Elephas maximus indicus: one gene and its partner. The protein of the gene in region 1 purifies or fractionates together with the protein of each later gene. This does not show direct contact. Links are inferred from orthologs where the notes say so. Each region holds a gene or a part of one and is shown in the gene's direction. Other genes may lie near its edges.

Region 1 (9,375 bases):
TTATAGATTCTGAAGTTACAAGCTTTTCTTACATCGGAAAGTCAAGATAATTATTTTATACATTATTGGGAATGCTTTCAAATGTACTTTAGATCTCAGCACACAGAATTATGAATATTATTCTAAAAGAAAAAAAAAAGTTACTTCTCCAGTGTCTAGAACTTAATTAGAAGAGACATAACTGCATAAAGCTTAATGCCCCATTTTCCATTTATTTCTGAAGTAGAGACATCCTCCCATGAAAATGCTGTATGTTGATTTGGCTGGATCCAGAGCCTGGTACTTAGCATTAGAGTAGAATCAGGAGTGAGTACAGGTCGGGTGAGATCAGCTCCTTGATAACTAAATTGTGGCCTTGATTTTCATAAAGGTTACAAACTGATTTTCATCCTGAGTTTCTATATCGTGTTTCTTAAGAACTTTCACAGACAATTTGTTTTTGGTCTTAAATTTCACATATTTATTTTTAGAAATTTTACCATAATTTGTTCTCCCACTCTTGAATTAGTCAGTGAAACCAAGATATTTTTAAATGTCAGAATTTGAAAGCACAAGAATTTTGGAGGATATAAGCCAATAACACATGAAGAGGTGTTGGATAATGAGTCCAAAGTGTCATAGGGACCTGAGGACCTCTAATAGACCTTTTTCGCTCAAATTTGAAATGCTTGGTTACAACTGGATTTTTTTGTATCTGAAAGACATAGATATTTATGGAAGAAATAAATGGAACCTTTGGAATATTTCTAATTGTTCACAATATTCTTAAATTTCTTCCTTCTTAGAAAAAGTACATGAACCAAGAATAATTCGATACACTGAAATAACTGTTGCCTTAACTTTTTTTTATCTGTTCACTGATAGGGAAAATCTCAATACCATCTTTCTGGATGTCTAAGAGAGACTTGGCTACCGGACTTGGCATTACCCAAAGCCAGTATTTGGGATATGTGCGTTCTTGACAAAGCTGCAGTAAAGCTTCAGAGAACTGTAGGCTCAAGTCAATCTAAAATTTGATTAAAAAGGCAAGTTGAAATCAATGAGTAGCAGAAGAAATCCCTCTTTAAAATAAATAAGGAATTAAGCACTGTTGTTTGCACAGTAAATGATACTAGGTGTGGTAGGCTAGATAATGGAAACTACAGTGAATTAAGGATATATTTCATTTTGATGTTGGGAAAAATCAGTGAGATACTATTAGCATTTTAATATCTGTGATCAGAACTAAGCACTGTGCTTGGGACAATGTTGATGGTAACAGCACTTGCAGGAAAGATAGAGCTTTAAACTGAAATCTCATGGAGAACCATTTGGTAGAAAAAAAAGTTCTCCAATTCATCCCTTACTCTTCATATGTAAACAAGATTCAGGAATCTTGACCGAAAAGCTTTTAATTATGCAAAAAAGAAATATCAAACATTTACAAATATAATTTCATTACAGGGCTATGCTTACCTAAATTGCTTTGAAAATCACTAAAATATTATTATGGACATATAATTTTAATATTTCCTAGTGAGGTTGAAGTTTTAATTCCTGATACATATCATCTGTGTCAGAATTTCTACAAAAATACCTTTGTAAAAAAAATGTGTTGTTGTTGTTGTGGAGAATATGCCCAGAAAAAACATGCACCAAATTCGAGCTTCTACATGTGCAATTCAATGACACTGAGTATATTCTTCAAGTTGTGCAACCATTCTCACCCTCCTGAGTTGTTCCTCCTCATTAATGTAAACTCACTGCCCCCTAAGGTTCCCTTCTAATCTTTCAATTGTTGTTGTCAGTTTGATCCCATATAGATAGATCTTCAAAGTGCATTGTTTGGTTTTAAGAAGACTTCAAGGGATAATTTTGGTTTAAGGTTTAAAGGTTATCTTAGGGTAAAAGTTTTGGGGGTTCATCCAGCGTCTATGGCTCCAGGAAATCTGGATTCCATGAAAATTTGAAATTCCGTTTTGCATTTTTCCCCTTTTGATCAGGATTCTTCTATAGAATCTTTGATTAAAATCTTCAGTAATGGTAGCTGGGCACCATTCAGTTCTTCTAGTCTCATGGCAAAGGAGGCAGTTGTTCACGGAGGCAATTAGCCACACATTCCTTTTCTTCTATTCCCAACTTTCCTTCTTCCTCTGTTGCTCCAGGCAAATGGAGATCAATCATTGTGTCCTGGATGACCACTTGCAAGCTTTTAAGGCCCCTGGCACTATGCAACAAACTAGGCTGTAGAGCAGAAGCACTAAGCATGTTATTAGGCCAATTAATTGAGATGTTCCACGAAACCATAACCCTAAACCTCCAAACCAAGAAATCAAATTGCATAAGGTGTTTGGTTGTACATAAGCAGCCTCAGCAACTACTCTTTTTTTTTTTTTTTGTCATTGTTATAGCTATCACACAACTTTTGACAGTTCAACATTTTACAGGTTTACAACTTATTGACAACAATTAAACAATAATCAGCTGTGCTATCCTACCCTTAATCAATGCAATTTTTCCATCACTGTAAACTGAAACTCAGTACTCCATAAGCAGTGATCTTCCCTTCTGCCCCACTATCCAAAAACACACTTTAGGGGGTACATTTCTGAGAATTCCACAGAACCATATTCTTGTAGTTAACCTGTTATTTCTGCTTATGTTCCTTGAGAATGAATATCAATGACTTTTAGCTGGCAATTTTATATCCCTTTAATTCTAACTTTTGACCTTGTTATGGTAAACATGGAGAAAGCTGGACAATGAAAAAGGAAGACTGAAGAAGAATTGACAGACACCAATTACGGAGTTGGTGAAGAATATTGAATTTACGTGGATTGCCAGAAGAATGAACAAATCTGTCTTGGAAGAAGTACAGCCAGAATTCTCCTTAGAAGCTAGGATGGCAAAACTTTGTCTCACTTATTTTGGACATATTATCAGGAAAGACCAATCCCTGGAGAAGGACTTCATGCTAGGTAAAGTAGAGGGTCAGGAAAAAGGAGGAAGACTCTCAAGGAGATGAACTGACACAGTAACTGCAACAATGGTCTCAAACATAACAACAATTGTAAGGACGGTGCGGGGCCAGGCAACATCTCATTCTGTTATACATGAGGTTGCTGTGAGTCACAGCCGACTCAACGGGCACCTAGCAACAACAACAAGCAAAGTGGTGAGACGAGGGTGAATCTGTTCCCCTTCTTCTTTCTGGAGTCTCCCTTGTCTTTCCAGAAAGCATCCTTTTCTTTCACTCACCCTGTTTCCTGGAAACCAAGGTGTCAAACTGAAGCATATGATCTACCCTGAACCTCACTGACCCCACCAGCCCTTTCAAAATCTTTATATTATTGTCAATGCTTTTTGCCCTCCTATTGAACCTTGCAAAGTTCAGAATTCTGTTTCCTGACACCATAGCTCACTTCTGGTTTATACTGGGTGATCACAGATTATTCCTACCATTGACTGTAAGCAAGTCATGTAGCCTATCAAGGACACCATCAGCTTTACCCCCATTTTTATTTTGAAAAATGTTAACCTCTGGAAAAAGAATTTGCTGAACCATTTGAATAATGTAATATTTTTAGTGTATTATTAAAACAGTGACTAGTTGTTAATAATACAAGTAGTGCTTGACTTACGATGGAGTTCTGTTCCAACGACTCTGCAGAAGCTGGTTCTGACGTAAGTCGAATACTTTTTTTTTTTTTAGTTTTCATCATTATTGCCATAGCCTTCTACTGGCAGTGTTTTGAACAATAAATCATAACATTGAACCTCTGCGAGTGAACATCTAAGAATGATAACATCAACAAGTTTTGTGCTGCAACATTGTAGGTAGTACATCCTGAAGTTAGGATGTACAAACAACAACGAAAAAACAGATGGTCCTAAGCGTGGTTCCTCGGAACTGGAATAGGTTGAGGACTACCCATACCTCAACAAACTTCATTTAAAAAAGCAGTATTTGCTGAGCACTGAAGAAACCCTGGTGGCATAGTGGTTAAGTGCTATGGCTATTAACCAAAAGGTCAGCAGTTGGAATCCACCAGGCACTCCTTGGAAACTCTATGGAGCAGTTCTACTCTGCCCTATCGGGTCACTATGAGTCAGAATGGACTCATAGGTCAGTGGGTTGGTTGGTAGCAGGGAAAACACTGTGCTCAGAGCATTGCAGGTATTATTCAACCAAAAATTTCCATGAATTGGAACTATTAACTGTTTCAGTTTTACAGATGAGGAAGCTGGGTCTTAGCGTAAAGTGCCCAAGTCCACATCCTTAGAAAGACACAGAATTCAAATCTCTGTGACTAACTCCAGAGCTCTGGTTTTAACCAGTACACGATATCCATTAAAATGCATGTGTGGACATAATAATGAAAAGACAAGCAGCTAAAGAAGACATTTTGGGAAAAATTTGGAAAATTTTACCATGGATTGTTTATTAATAAATATGAAATTGCTGTTAATTTTCTTAGGTATGATAATGACATCGTGATACATAGGAAAAATATCCAAAAATTTATGCAATAATGCTAAAACTTCATCTGGGAATAAAGCTTCATAATGTCCTCAACTTCCAAATAAATAAAATAATGGTTCCGTTAAAATGTGTGTGAACACACACACACAGCAAATACAGCATACTGTTCACAACTAGCAAATCAATGTGAGGGGTATATGGGTGTTCATTGTACTAGTCTTTCAGTATTTGTTGGCCGGAAATTTTTCAAAATTAAATGTTGATGGGAAATATGTGTCTAGAATACGCTCTTCAGAAATAATTCACAGAATCTCAGGATTATGAGACTTTAAAGGTCACAGAGTCTTATTACTCCATCTTTTTCTTCGCTAAGATTTGAATGGGTTTATTTCAACAATGGCATAAACAGGATCACACTACACATAATGTACACACAAGTATTAAAAACTATGCAAGTGTATATACCCCAGCTGGCATGGGGGTTATCTCTGGGGTGGGGGAGGTGGTATTAACGGAAAATATTACTTTCCTTATTTGCTTACATTTTTATAACGATTGTGTATTATCAGAAATACCAAAGTTTCCTTTTTTAAAATTCCATTTAAAAATAAACGAAAGCACTAAAAATTCCGAACTCCTTCATTTTCCATCGGTGAAACCCGTAAATATGTTATGGAAGGTAGAATCTTTATTCTGCTAGTTCCCTACTGGCGGCCTTTCAGGAAGTAAATGGGATTCCTGGGATTCTACTGCTGGTTCCACCTACGAATGGATCTCTGCTTGCAAACAAAAACTAAGACCAAAAAATGTAACCTTTTAGAATGAGGCAAGTGGCGGCTGAAAAGAGTTAAATTCTTGAACTAGGGACGCATCCTTCAGTGCCCTTAACTCCCCGATCTCCGGCGAGCAGCCGACAGGAGGGGAAGTCGCCAGAAACCCCAGGAACCGAGGCCATCCGGGCGTTGGTTCCGGCCTACAGCTCCGGCCTTCGGGGCGGGACGGGCACGCCCATCTCCCGCCCTCATCCAATAGGGAGTGAGGAGGTGGGGCCCGGACGCCCCTGGAGACGGGGCGGGGCAAAGGGGGTGTGTCTGGGGCGGGGCCGACAGGTCCCTGAGAGCGGCGACCTTCCTCCGCCCGGCGCAGGTGGAGCGGCCCTCGGGGCCCGGGCTTCGGCCTCGGGCGTCCGGAAATGGCGGTGGCAGGCAGGACGGAGGACGTGAGTGCACGAAAGTGGCGAGCGGCCGTCCCCGGGAATCCCCTTCCTCCTGTGCTGGGGCGCGCGGGGCGGGGACTGCGGGGGAAGCTACCACAACCAGGGCGTCACGGCTGGAGGGGTGCTGCCCGCGCCCGCGGCCAGGCTGGGGCGCTGCGTTGGGTGGGAAGCCGCCAGGCCACCCCGAGGGGTGCGCAGCCCGCGCCGCTCACGGCTTCTCCGGGTGGACGCCGGGGTTGGCTTCCGGGCGGTGGGTTCGGGAACCTGGAGACCCCAGGCCGGTGCCCAGCCCACGTGCGCGCGCGTCTGTGATTCCGGAACTGGGCGCTTCACGTGATAGGGCGTCTGACCTGACAGTCCTGCTTTGGGGTGCGTCTTTGGGCCCCCGGATGCCCTCAGACGCTCCTGGAGGCGCAGGGGGCGAATCTCCCTTTCCTGCCTGGTCCCCAGCCCGGGCTCCGGAAAACTGTGGACCTGAAGCGGCTGCTAGGCGCGGGCCGGACGCCAGCGTCCCCGCGGGCAGACCTGTCACTGTGAACGCCCACACTGGAGAAAAACAGTGTCATGTGCTATTTTGAATCTAGGTATGGTAGGAGTAAAAAGATTACAAAAATCTCCTTACTTAGAAGAATCCAAACCAGATAACTGAAAAACCCAGTGGTTTTTTATAATACAGGGTCGTACACAATTGCAAAAATCTTTTTTCTTTGCTTAACTGTATTAAGATATTATTAAGGAGGTGCACGTATTTGTGCCCGTTGGCCGGTAACAATAATACTTGCCGTTGAGAAATGTAAAGATGACGGTTACATTAAGGCACTTTGGATTAATAAATTAATCGGAATACTACTGTGACCCCATCCCTGAATGAGACAAGCAGAAAACATGATTCCAGCCTGCAAGACCTTATATTCTTGTGAAATATTGACTATAGCGAAATCATCTTGAGCAAATAAAAACTGAACAATTTCTAACGGTAAGACTAAAAATGTCTTTTTTTTTTCACTTGAGAGAATGGAAAATTAACTGTAAGACCTTGAAGTAGATTTGAGATTCACAGATGTATATTTTTAAAATCCGATATATTTGAGTATTTAAGGGTGAGATTCAAGAGCTAAAAATTTATGGAAAAAATGAATAAGAGGAAAATGAGAGAGTTTTTTGAAAAAAGGAGGCAGTAAGTGCTTCTTGGTGCAAAGATGTCCAAGAATTCTTGGATCTGTAACTTTTAACTTTATAATAACTAACCCTAGAAATCTGTTTCATCAAACCATTGGAGATTAATATTTTACCAACAATTATGTAGCTAAATAACTTTAGATCTGAGCAAGTTGACTGCTTTCGTATTTTATAGATGTGATTTCTAGCATTCAGTAAAAACCTAAAAATTCTGAGCCATGTAGTAGGCCCAGACACATAAATGAGTTAAAAGAGCCAAAGACTTTTAATTATGGTTTGTTATTTGCAAGCAGTGGGACCAGTTCTGGCTAGTTTAAGGAAGAAAGGAATACATGTTAAAGATTACAGGGTAGATTAACAACTAGACCTCTGAAAGGACCTAAACCAGGGTAGGTCACGAGGTCTAGGCGACGAAAGGTTTTTTTTTCAGGGTTCTGTCCTAAAATTAAGGAGTCCTGGTGGCACAGTGGTTAAGCACTCAGCTGCTAACCGAAAGGTTTGCAGTTTGAACACGCCAGCTGTTCCACAGAAGAAAGATGTGACAGTCTGCTTCCGTAAAGATTACAGCCTTGGAAACTCTATGGGGCAGTTCTGCTCTGTCCTATCGGCTCACTGTGATTGGGAATCTACTCAGTGGCAACAGGTTGGGTTTGGTCTTTTGGTCCTAAAATTAATCCTCCTCAGCCATGGTCTCTCTTTGCTTTGTTGCTCACAGGAGTTCAATTGGCACAATCCTCTCTGGTTCCATGACCATATGTAGGCCAGAGAAGAGTGAAGGGTATTGAAGAATGTTCCCAGGGAGACAATGCAGAGGTAGATGGGTAGGTCCCCAAAGCAAATAGAAGTTTGTCATAAAAGAAGAGGGAAGAGATACCATGTGGGCAAAAACAACAGATGTCTTCTGCAGGTGACAGTGTAGTTATTAATAGTGCCATGATGAATACTTCTGCATTCAGGAGTCCTCTTCCTCTCAGCTTTCACTTGCAGGTGATAAGTTACAGAGAATGACTGAGTGCCATTTCCATGGTTATGCTAGATATTTCTTATAGGATCTATATAACTGTATATTTGATATGTCCAGCACATACATTTTCTTTACTGAACATCTAATAAATGACAGAGAGAAAACCATACTATGGTCTTCATACTCTTCAGTGTAGTCAGGAAGAGCTAAAGAGGTACCCAGAAAAAAGAAAACAATACAAGACAGCGTACGAAATATTCCAAAAGAATAATAGGGGCAGTGAATTTTATAGGATGCCTGGGTGGTGCAAATGGTCAACACACTTGGCTGCTAACCAGAAGGTTGGCACTTCGAGTCCACCCAGGGACTTCTCAGAAGAAAGGCCTGGTGATCTAGCCTAGAAAAACCAGCCCTTGAAAATGCTGTGGAACCCTCTTCTAGCCTGACACACACAGGGTCCCCATGAGTTGGAACTGACTTGACGGCGTCTGGGTGAGGTACTTTTTATAGGAGTTTTAAAATAGAAACACTTATGCTTAGTATTGGAAGTTGTTTTAGAGATGTAGAAGAGGGACTTCCACCCCTGGCCAAGATGGTTGCTGCCTGAAACCACCAAAGAACACACAAAATGTATGAATCAAGTTGTAAAGATGTTGGACTTCAGCTAACGAAGGTCAGTGATCTCAGAGATCAGAAACAAACAGATGGGCTCTACGATTGCCTCAGCTTACTGCCGTAGAGTTTGCAGGCTGTGGCAGAGGTAAGGATTACAAAGATAAACGCAATAATCTGGGTGTGATCCAGATCTGGGGTGGGTCCCTCAATTTCCAGTCTCAGGTATTTGGTGCTGCTCCGCAACTCTTGCTATTCAATGCCTAGATAGTTTTCTGATTAGTTTGCCTTCTCACAACGCGCGGTACTGTTCTGATTAACTCATTGAATCTTCCCAGCAAAGCTGTGAAGCAGGTGCTATTATTCTTCCTCTTTGTTATATGAGGAAACTGAGGTACAGAGAGGTAAAGTAACTTGCCCACAGCTAGTAAGCAGTAGATCTTGTCTTTGAACCAGCTTTTTGTCTTTGGCGTGACCCTGGACTACAGTGCTTACTGCCTCTGGTCAGAGATGATTCTCAGATTTTAGCCCAAGTCTTTGGTGATGCCCGTAACCGAGTTAGGGGACATTGGAAGGACAGGTTTGGGACATCCATTCTTTCAGCAAGTGTTCACTGAGTGTTGATCATGAGACACTGTTGGGTGCTAGGATTACGAAGGCAAGAGATGGGTAGCTAGTGGGTCTAATGAGCTCTAGCTGGGAAGACAGATACCCCACTAGTAAGAAAACCACCCAAGGACACCCGGAGACAGAGGAGGTGAGCACAGAATGCTTTGGAACGCATGGTACCTATCTTCCTCAGTTTGTACTTACTGCTTCTGTCCCTGCTTTTGTGGGTATGATCTAGATCTGAAGTTCCCAGGAAAGCTAGCTGACCTCAGCTGGGCCTGGAAGGGTGCGCAGACATCAGCTACAGGAAGAGCTATGGAGACTGGCACATCT
Region 2 (9,832 bases), on another chromosome or scaffold:
TCACAACTGGACCAATAAGCAAAATCAGGATAAATGGAAAAAAGATTGAAGTTGTCAAAGATTTCATTTTGCTTGGATCTACAATCAATGCCCTTGGGAGCAGCAATCAAGAAATCAAAAGACGCATTGCATCGGGCGTCTTTTGCTGCAAAAGACGTCCTTAAAGTGTTAAAAAGCAAAGATGTCACTTTAAGGTGCTGCCTGACCCAAGCCATGGTGTTTTCAATTGCCTCATATGCATGCGAAAGCTGGACAATGAATAAGGAAGACCAAAGAAGAATTGATGCCTTTGAATTATGGTGTTGGTGAAGAATATTCGAATATACTATGGATTGCCAAAAGAATGAACAAATCTGTTTTGGAAGAAGTACAGCCAGAATGCTCCTTAGAGGCAAGGATGGCCAGACTTAATCTCACATATTTTGGACATGTTATCAGGAGGGACCAATCCCTGGAAAAGAACATCATGCTTGGTAAAGTAGAGGGTCAACGAAAGAGAGGAAGACTGTCAATGAGATGGATTGACACGGTGGCTGCAACAATTGGCTCAAGCATAATGATTGTGAGGATGGTGCAGGACCAAGCAGTGTTTTGTTCTGCAGTACATAGGGTCGCTTTGAGTCAGAACCAACTCGACAGCACCTAACAACAACAATTCAGTGACACTGATTACATTCTTCAAGTTGTATACCCATTCTCACTATCCTTTTCCAAGTCATTCTACCACCTTTAACATAAACTCGACACCTGCTAAGCAAAAACTCTAACCACTGATAATTAGTAACCGTTAATAATCTTTGCTTTCTCTATATTTTTTTCTCTATATTTACTATTTCATATAATTGAGATCATACATTTGTCCTTTTGTGACCGACTTATTTCGCTCAGCATGATGTTTTAGCAATCTGTGTTTTAATAATTCCTACAAGCGATTCTGATGCATGCTCAAGTTTGACAGCCATTTTGTTTAAGCAGAAAATTAAATCGCAGAGTGGGGGAATGAGAACAACTCTGCTGGGGAAAGCTAACAACTCAAAATGACATGTCTCCACTCACCCAGATATCTCTAGCTCAAGGGTTAGCAGCCTTTTGAGCCCACTATTACCTCTCTGAAGAAACCCTGGTGGAGCAATGGTTAAGCACTCCACTGCTAACTGAAAGGTTGGCAGTTGAAACCCACCAGCTCTTCCTTGGAAGAAAGATGTGGCAGTCTGCTTAGTAAAGATTACAGCCTTGGAAACCCTATAGGAGCAGTTCTACCTTGTCCTGCATGGTCACTATGAGTTGGAATTGACTTGACGGCAAAGGGGTTTTTCAAGTGACCTCTCCGTGGGGTTGAGCAATGACCTTACACTGTCCATGCTTTCACAGTTTAGAGGCATTATCCAGAAAAGAAGGAAATGCTACAGGAGGAAAAGAAAGAGATGAAGTGTAGGAAAAACTAAAAGGAGGATGGGGAGGGAGGAAAACAAGGGGAGAGAGAATGCAAATAAAACAATACAGATCAATAATCTTTAAACCTTAAATCTTTAAAACATCCCCTGAAGTCTTCTTAAAACCAAACAATAGCTTAGCTTAACTAGTAAAAAGGTCTGCCTTGAGCATTATGTTCTTTTAAGAACTATCTACATGGGATCAAATTGACAACAGCAACTTGAAAGATTAGATAGGAACCTTAGGGGGCAGTGAGTTTATGTTGATGGGAGGAACAACTCAGAAATAGAGGGTGAGAATGGTTGCACAACTTGAAGAATGCAGTCAGTGTCACTAAATAGTACATGTAGAAACCGTCAAATTGGTGTATGTTTTGCTTTGTATATTCTCAACAACAACGACAAAATGAAAATACAGATCATATGGTGGCAAGCAGATGATACCAATACTTCAGGGACACTCTTTCATTTATTCAATAAGCATTGGTTATTTTCCCATTTTAAATCTCTATACCTTCAAGTCCATTTCCTTCCCCAGCCCCCACAGTTCATTGTCTATCATTCATCGACTTTGATAGGGTCATTATTTCGTAAACCATTCAATGTGTTAGCATTTTGGGACCTGTTTAGTTTTTTTTAGTAGTGATCCCCCTGCTGTTTGGCCAAAGACTTATGAAATCTCAAAGCTGCTCAGAAGAGTCATAAACTACCTATAGTGGTGGAGTGTGAGGTGAAGATTAAGGAGTTCTGCCCACTGGAGAGGTATGAGCTCTGGTCAAGAGAGAAAGTGCATATAAATGCCCTCTGGACCCAGCAGTATCAACAACAGACTTGAGAGAGGGATGTCAAGGAGTTCCTCAAACACCAACCCCAGACCAATGTGTAGATCTGCCTCTATTACAAAATGTTGCATAAGATTTAATCTTAGAAAATTAAGAGAGTGATAAAATTTGTTTTTTTAATTTTTTTTCTTGAAAATTTGCAAAACATGAGGTAAAACATGAAGGGACCTGGTAATGACTGCACATACATTTTATTCTAGTCTCCATCTTCTTAGCCTTTTTATTATTTTTCATGAAACATTTTTCAAAACATGGTACAATGCATTCTTCTTTACTGCAAAAGCAGTACTTACAGCCCAAATAAATAAAGCCAAGGGACTTTTTATATCAAGAAAATTACCACTGCAATGCTTTCTTCATTACTGCAAAAGAAGTATTAATAGGCCAAATAAATAAAACTAACAGAATTTGAATCTCAGGAAAATTACTACTACTGTGTATTCTCATTAATACAAAAGCAGTACTAACAGCTAAGAAGCAGAAACAGCTGCCCTGGAATACTGCAGAACTGCTCACAGTGGTGCATGCCACCTGCTACATGTGGAAGCAATGACTGGACCCTAAGACTGAATGCAGAGTAGGAATAATTTACAGGAGTTCCAATCTCTTAAAAAGTACCACTTCAACGCATTATTCCTTATTGGAAAGGCATTATTTACTGTTCAGAAGCTAGAAAAGATGGAAGCCAGTAACACCTGGAAACAATGAATGGCATGAAGGAGAAATGGCCACTATGGATGAAGACTGGCAACAGCTTATTGTCGCAATAAGTACATTCTCATGAGAACATAGCAAGTGGGAAACATAGTGAAGAGGAGGCTTATCTCACAGAAATAAAGGCAAACCTGTCAAAAGTTTAGAAAATTCACACAATTGAAAGGCATCACCCTAACACAATGCTCAATCTACACAAAAACGAGGCTTCCACTCGGGATTTTTGAGTTTCACGCATTTCAAAAGGCTCCCACCTTAAGGATAAAGGCGTTAAAATTGGGCTATCCCCTTTCCAAAGAACTCCAGAGACCTAAAAAGTAGGTGGGATAAAATTTGTCCTATGGGTCTTGAAAGGGTTTAAGAACAGGGATCCATTGTCTTACAGTTCTGAGGGCTAGAAGTCCAGGTATTGATTGTGTTGATTCCTCCTGAGGGTTCTGAGAGAGTGACTGTTCCATGCCTCTCTCTAGGTTCTAATGGTTGCTGGCAATCCTTAGCATTCCTTTGCTGTTTGCTGATGTATCTTCACATGGTGTCTTCTCCCTGTCTCCATGTCTGTTTTCCCCTTGTATTAAGACATCATTCAGAAGGGGATAGGACCCACCCTACTGTGGTATGACTTTATTAATTGATAACAAAAGGATAACCCTATTTATAAACAAGGACTAAGGTGCACCTGGCTCAAGCCACGGTATTTTCAATTGCCTCATATGCATGCAAAAGCTGGATAACAACAACAACAACAAAAAAAAAACACAAAAAAGAAGAATTAATGCATTTGAATTATGGTGTTGGTGAAGCATCTTAAATAAACCACGGACTTCCAGAAGAATGAACAAATCTGTGTTGGAAGAAGTAGAGTGAGAATGCTCCTTAGAAGCAAGGATGGCAAGACTTTGCCTCATGTACTTTGGACATGTCCCGGGAGAAGGACATCATGCTTGGTAAAGTAGAGGGTCAGGGAAAAAGAAGACCCTCAACAAGAAGGATGGACACAGTTGCTGCAACAGTGGGCTCAAACATAGTAACGATTGTGAGGATGCCACTGGACCTGGCAGTATTTCATTGTGTCCTACATAGGGTCGCTGTAAGTCAGATTCAACTCAATGGGACCTAACAACACAAACAAGGCCACATTCATAGGAACAGGGGTTAGAACTTCAACCTATCTTTTTTGGGGAAACAATTCGATCCGTAACAATTACCATCTCAAAATGTCACTTCTTATTAATGGTGAGGCATTAAAGGACCTTTTGCTAAAGGCAGTGCCTAAAGTTGTAGTGAATATTAGTCCTGTATTGGGCAAGTCATTTACTCATGACTCAGTTTCTTCTATGACAGAAGACATACATTGCCAAGTGTTCTCACTTTCAGGAATTAATTATATTAAAACAAACTATAGTGAGGGTAGATCAAAAACAAAAAAACATTGCCATCGAGGCGATTCGACTCATAGAAACCCTATAGGACAGAGTAGAACTGCCTCATAGGGTTTCCAAGGAGCATTCGATGGATTGGAACTGGTCAGAGGTTGAGCTCTTAACCACTGTGGCACCAGGGCTCCAAAAGGGTACATTAGTGATTCTTAATATTTGAGTGTGGGGGAGGTAGAGAGTTACAGGTCCCATCTGAGAACTCATGAAAGCTAGAAACCTCCCCCATAAAAATAAACGTACATAAATGTTGCATGCAACTTCTGGGAAGTCAAAGACCCTCCTCCCAAGTCCATTCACAGAGGCAATTAAAATCCCCAGGACAAGATGGTTTTGAAGCTGTATTTCAGTGTTTCTCAAAGTGTGGTCTATGGGTGATAGGAATGAGAACCACTTGGTGTGCTTGTTTAAAAAGAGATCCCTAGGACTACTACATACCTACTGTTTCAGGATCTCTGGGGGATGATGCCAAGGAACCTGTGTGTCTTTAAAAAGCCCCAGGTGATTCTTTTGGAAAATAACATTTGAGAATCAGTACTTTATTCCAGCTTGAGGTTTTCGGATGCTTTCATTTGTTGAAGACTTTAGGTTTCATCCGTTTACCTGTCAAGTATATCAAACAGTGAGTTCAGTATGGTCTCATTAAAAATTTACATGTGTATATACATGTATTTTGAGATATATATATATATGTGTGTATAAACCAAAAAACCAAACCGGTTGCCATTGAGTCGATTCTGACTGATAGCGACTTTATCGACCTTATAGGACAGAGTAGAACTGCCCCGTACGGTTTCTAAGAAGCGCCTGGTGGATTTGAACTGCCAACCTTTATGGTTAGCAGCCGTAGCTCTTAACCACTAGGCCACCAGGGTTTCTATACATATGTATGTATATATATTTCTCAGGATGTTAACAGTGTTTCTCTCCAGGTAGTGGGATTATGGAAGATCTTAATTTTTTCCCCTTTATCCTTCTATTTTCTTTTTCTTTATTTTTTTTTTCCTGTATTTAAAAAAGGCTCTTCCTCTTTTTGGGTTCAGTTCTCCCAACTGAAACACAAGGATGTTGCAAGTAGATGAATTTAAAGGTCATGTCCTGCTTTGGTGGTCAGGGACTCATTACTACCCTCTAGCTTACTTGTCCATTAATAGCATGATCTGCATAGGTACTAAGTGCGTGCTCAATACAACCAAAAACCCACTGCCGTCCAGTCGATTCCAACTCATATGTATTACGTTGAGATGCCTGGCCACCGTTTTTATCCCAGCAAAATCATTCTCTTCTTTCTCAAGGAGCCATAACTGAAATAATCTCTACTATCTACACCCCGCCCCCTCCTGCAAAAAAAAAAGTTTATCCTCTCGCTATGGTTTTAAAAAAGGCCGTCCGCGCACATCTCTTATGAACTTAAGAATGGTTGTGAACCAAAAAGCCAGGGCTTCATCGCCCCGCCCCCCGGCCCTACCCCACCGCCCCTTCTCGACGCTTTCTAGAGCGGGGATTGGCTGAAGGCAAGAAAGAGCCCTGCCCTGAGTCTTATGACTCGCGCTTAAGCGCTGATTCCTGGCTCTGGCAGCGTCGTGGTCAGTGGTCACCGGAGCTGTTACCCAAGTCCCAACGAGCAGCTTCCTTGGTGTTGCTGCTCTTGTCGCCGCCGCCGCCGCCGCCGCCTCTTGGTTTGCGGTATCATGATGTACCGAGGCCTCCGCCTCTCCCCGGTTCCGGGCTTGGGGCTGGTTCTGCTTTGCGTCGTCCTGGGTGAGTTGTCAGGCCCGCCGGCTTAGGCTCCCAGCCTAGGCCCGGCGGGGCGTCACTTCAAAGGCTACAAACTTGAAAGACTGGTCGGCGGGGCGGGGTTGGAGGGGCTGACGAGCTGACACTGAGCGGCGGCGGCAGGCCCGGGGAGGCGAACAGTAACCTAGAGTAGGCCTGACCGAGGGGTGGTGGGGAAGATGGGCCCAGGAGAGTAGGATGGGGCAATAAGGGGGGGCTGGTGGACGCCGAGGGAGTGGGTAGAGAAGAGTGAGGAGGGGAGGAGGTCGGGGTAGAAAGAATAACTTGGAAGGATACTGAGGAGTGCGCGTAGGAGGGCGGTTCCTGCAGATTAAGGGGTGGTAGAGACAATTTGGAGAGGAAAATCCTGGTTTCCCAGGAGCAGGGGCGAGTTTGGGAGATGGTAGCGAAACTATGGAGTGGGTGAGAAAATTGCAGAGGGAAGAGACTGAGCCTGCATGGAGAAGTTTGGGGGAAAAGCTTAGGTAGGGGACAGATCTGAGGATTCAGTCTCAGGAGTAGGGAGGGGAGTGGAATGGTATTTGTAGGTAGGAATTTGAGGCCATGAAGGAAGGAGCTGAGGAATGATGCTGGGTTTAAGTTTGGTAATCAGAGCGTTTTTTTTTTTTGTAGTATCACATTTTTTAAATTTTTTAAATTTGCCTTTGAACAGCTAATTCATAACATTGTACAAAATTATCAGGAGGTGAAAATTTAGTAGGAAAAATATAAAAGTTATAAAAAGATATACAGGAAAATTAAGTCTCCCTTCCCTGTCGGTCCTCCAGCAACCCAGAGGCAACCATTGTTACTAGCTGCTTGTTATTACTTCAGAGATATTTTATGCATATGTATAACCAAAAACCCAAATGAAACCCATTGCCGTGGAGTTGAGCTCTTAACCACTTCACCACCAGGGCTCCTGCATAGGTAGAATAGTTTTTTTTAAAAAAAGAAATAATAGCAAACTATGTGCACAATTCTGCACTTCGCTTTTTTAGTTAAAAATCTATATTCTAGAAACTGTTCCCCAGCATTATATGAAACTTTTCTCATTTGTTTTTTCTTGTTGTCGTTATTTTTTTCTAAATTTTATTTTGTTGTTGTTATTGAGAATATACTTACTAAACATATACCAATTCAACAGTTTCTGCATGTATAATTTAGTGACATTGATTGCATTCTTCAAGTTGTGCAACCATTCTCACCCTCCTTTTCTGAGTTGTTCTTCCTTCATTAAGGTGAACTCACCGCCCCCAAGGTTCCTGTCTAATCTTTTGAGTTGCTGTTGTCACTTTGATCCTGTATAGATAGTTCTTAAAAGAGCATATTGCTCAAGGCAGGCCTTTTTTTTTTTTTTTACTAGTTAAGCTAAACTGTTGTTTGGTTTTAAGACTTCAGGGGGTATTTTGGGTTTAAGCTTTAAAGATTATCTCAGGGCAATAGTTTCAGGGGCTCATCCAACTTCCATTGCTCCAGAAAGTCTGGAGTCCATGAGAATTTGGAATTCTGTTCTGTATTTTCCCCCCTTTTGATCGGGATCCTGCTATAGAATCTTTGATCAAAATATTCAGTAATGGTATCCGGGCATCATCCAGTTCTTCTGATCTCCTGGCAAAGGAGGCAGTGGTTCATGTAGGCAATTAGCCACATATCCCATATCCTTTTCCTATTCTTGACTCTCCTACTTCCTCTATTGCTCCAGGTGAATGGAGACCAATTGTTGTGCCTTGGATGGCACTTGCAAGCTTTTAAGACCCCAGGCACTACACAACGAACTAGGAGGTAGAACAGAAGCACTAATCATGTTATTAGGCCAGTTAGCTGGGATGTTTCATGAAACCATGACCCTAAACCTCTAATCCAAGGAACCAAATCCCATGAGGTGTTTGGTTACATATAGGTAGAGTTTTGAGGATGAAGGAACCTAAGGTGGTTGGGGCAATTTTGAGGCAAGAAACTTGGACCCAACTTCGGGAGACTAAAGGAGGAAGTGGGGAGTGAATTTCTGATTTGGATGTATTGAGGATGTTGTTTTTCTACCATTTTTGCTCCTTCCTCCCAGCCAGACCCTGACAAAGAAATCCCCCAGATGCTTCACTTGGGGAGAATCTCCCAAATGTGAGGTTTTGCGGGTGGTATATTTGCATCTTGTATACTACCTCCTTGCCTTCCGAGCCTCTTTTTTTCTTCTCCCTGAACCCATAAGTAGCCTATTACTTTGGTTTGTTTGTTTTTTGGGAGGGAGGATAGGTAGCTTCCTAAGGACTGAGTTGTTACCAGGTCCTAAGAATGACTGGGTGAATGTTGGCTGATTGTGCTGTGCCTCTAAGTGGTGCCCTAATAGCTCTAAGGCCTGAAAAGTGAACTTTGACCAGAATATCTCTTCCCGACTGGATCATCCCATGCTTGTTGCTACCCACTGGCTCTTGCTATCTGTGAAATAATAAAAGAACAGAAGGAACAGACTGAGATGGGAGTGGGGAAGAAACAGGCATATTAGGGGTCTGAGAAGGCAGTGAGAGGAATACAATTTGTAATTCACATTTCTATAGGATCAAATCAACACCCTACAACAGTGCTTCTCAACCAGGGGATAGTTGGCAATATCTCAAAGCGTTTTGAGTGGTCATAACTGGGGTGGGGATGGCTTCTGGCATCTAGTAGGTAGAGGCTAGGAATGCTGCTAGACATCCTACATGCACAGACCAGCCCGCCCCCCCCACACAAAGAATTATCCCACTCAAAATGGCGGTAATGCTGAGGTTGAGAAACCCTGCCCTAGAACCATAGCATTGGAAGGGTTCTTGATTATCTAATCCCATGATTCTCAAAGATCTTTTTATGGGGTCTGTGAGAGCAAAACTATTCTCAGAACAAAACTAAGAGGTTATTTTTTTCACTCTCACCCGTGTACGGTGGAGTTTTCCAGAGGCTATTTAATGTGTGGTGACATCACCACGCGGATGGCTCTGATGTTCTTGTGTTTTATGAATTGCTCAGTTTTAGTCTCTGATGTGGTAAATATCGGTAGATATAACACACAAACCACAGCTCCTTGAGGTCGTCATTGGATAAGAGTGTAAAAGGGTCCAGACACCAAAACATTTAAGAGTCCCTGATCTAATCCAGCTGTCCACACAGTGCAGGAAACTTCTGTAGCATGTCTCCAGGAGGGCCAGGGAGGCTGTGCTTGAATGCTTAATTCAAAGTCTTAACTCTACCATGAAGCACTTACTGAGGCCTGAGTGACCCTAAGAAAGGATTGTTTACAACAGAAAGCCCCTTATCAGTGACAAGAACGCATTTGACGAAGGCATCTGTTAATCAGTAGTTCACTGCCAATTTGTGCACAAACACAAGGCTGCTATTGTTTAGGGAAAGTAAAAAAAAAAGTTGTCTTATTTGTTGGCTTTCATGCCATTAACCTTTTTGATTATTGTGGTAAATATATGTGTGACAAAGCATTTGCCATTTCAACATTTTTTACATGTACAATTCAGTGACATAATTAAAATGATGAAAGCTTTTTTGTTTTGTTTTAGAAAATCAGTGCCAGATCATTGGAGGAAAAAAAAAAAACAGGCAAAAAGATGTGCATAGATGAACCCATCAGCTAGCTCATCTACTGGTT

What was found.
Region 2: the proteins of TMEM192 (region 1) and LAMP2 purify together in Homo sapiens (affinity purification with western blotting; 5 studies listed by BioGRID and IntAct, with this or other methods). This does not show direct contact. The link is inferred for Elephas maximus indicus from reciprocal best matches to the Homo sapiens genes TMEM192 and LAMP2.

The regions. Positions count from the first base shown.
Region 1 is NC_064839.1:60,352,736-60,362,110, reverse strand, and holds the start of TMEM192 (transmembrane protein 192), read left to right. Parts: upstream 1-5,559; 5' UTR 5,560-5,654; coding exon 5,655-5,681; intron 5,682-9,375.
Region 2 is NC_064846.1:36,113,875-36,123,706, forward strand, and holds the start of LAMP2 (lysosome-associated membrane glycoprotein 2), read left to right. Parts: upstream 1-6,085; 5' UTR 6,086-6,113; coding exon 6,114-6,183; intron 6,184-9,832. UniProt on the Homo sapiens protein: Lysosomal membrane glycoprotein which plays an important role in lysosome biogenesis, lysosomal pH regulation and autophagy.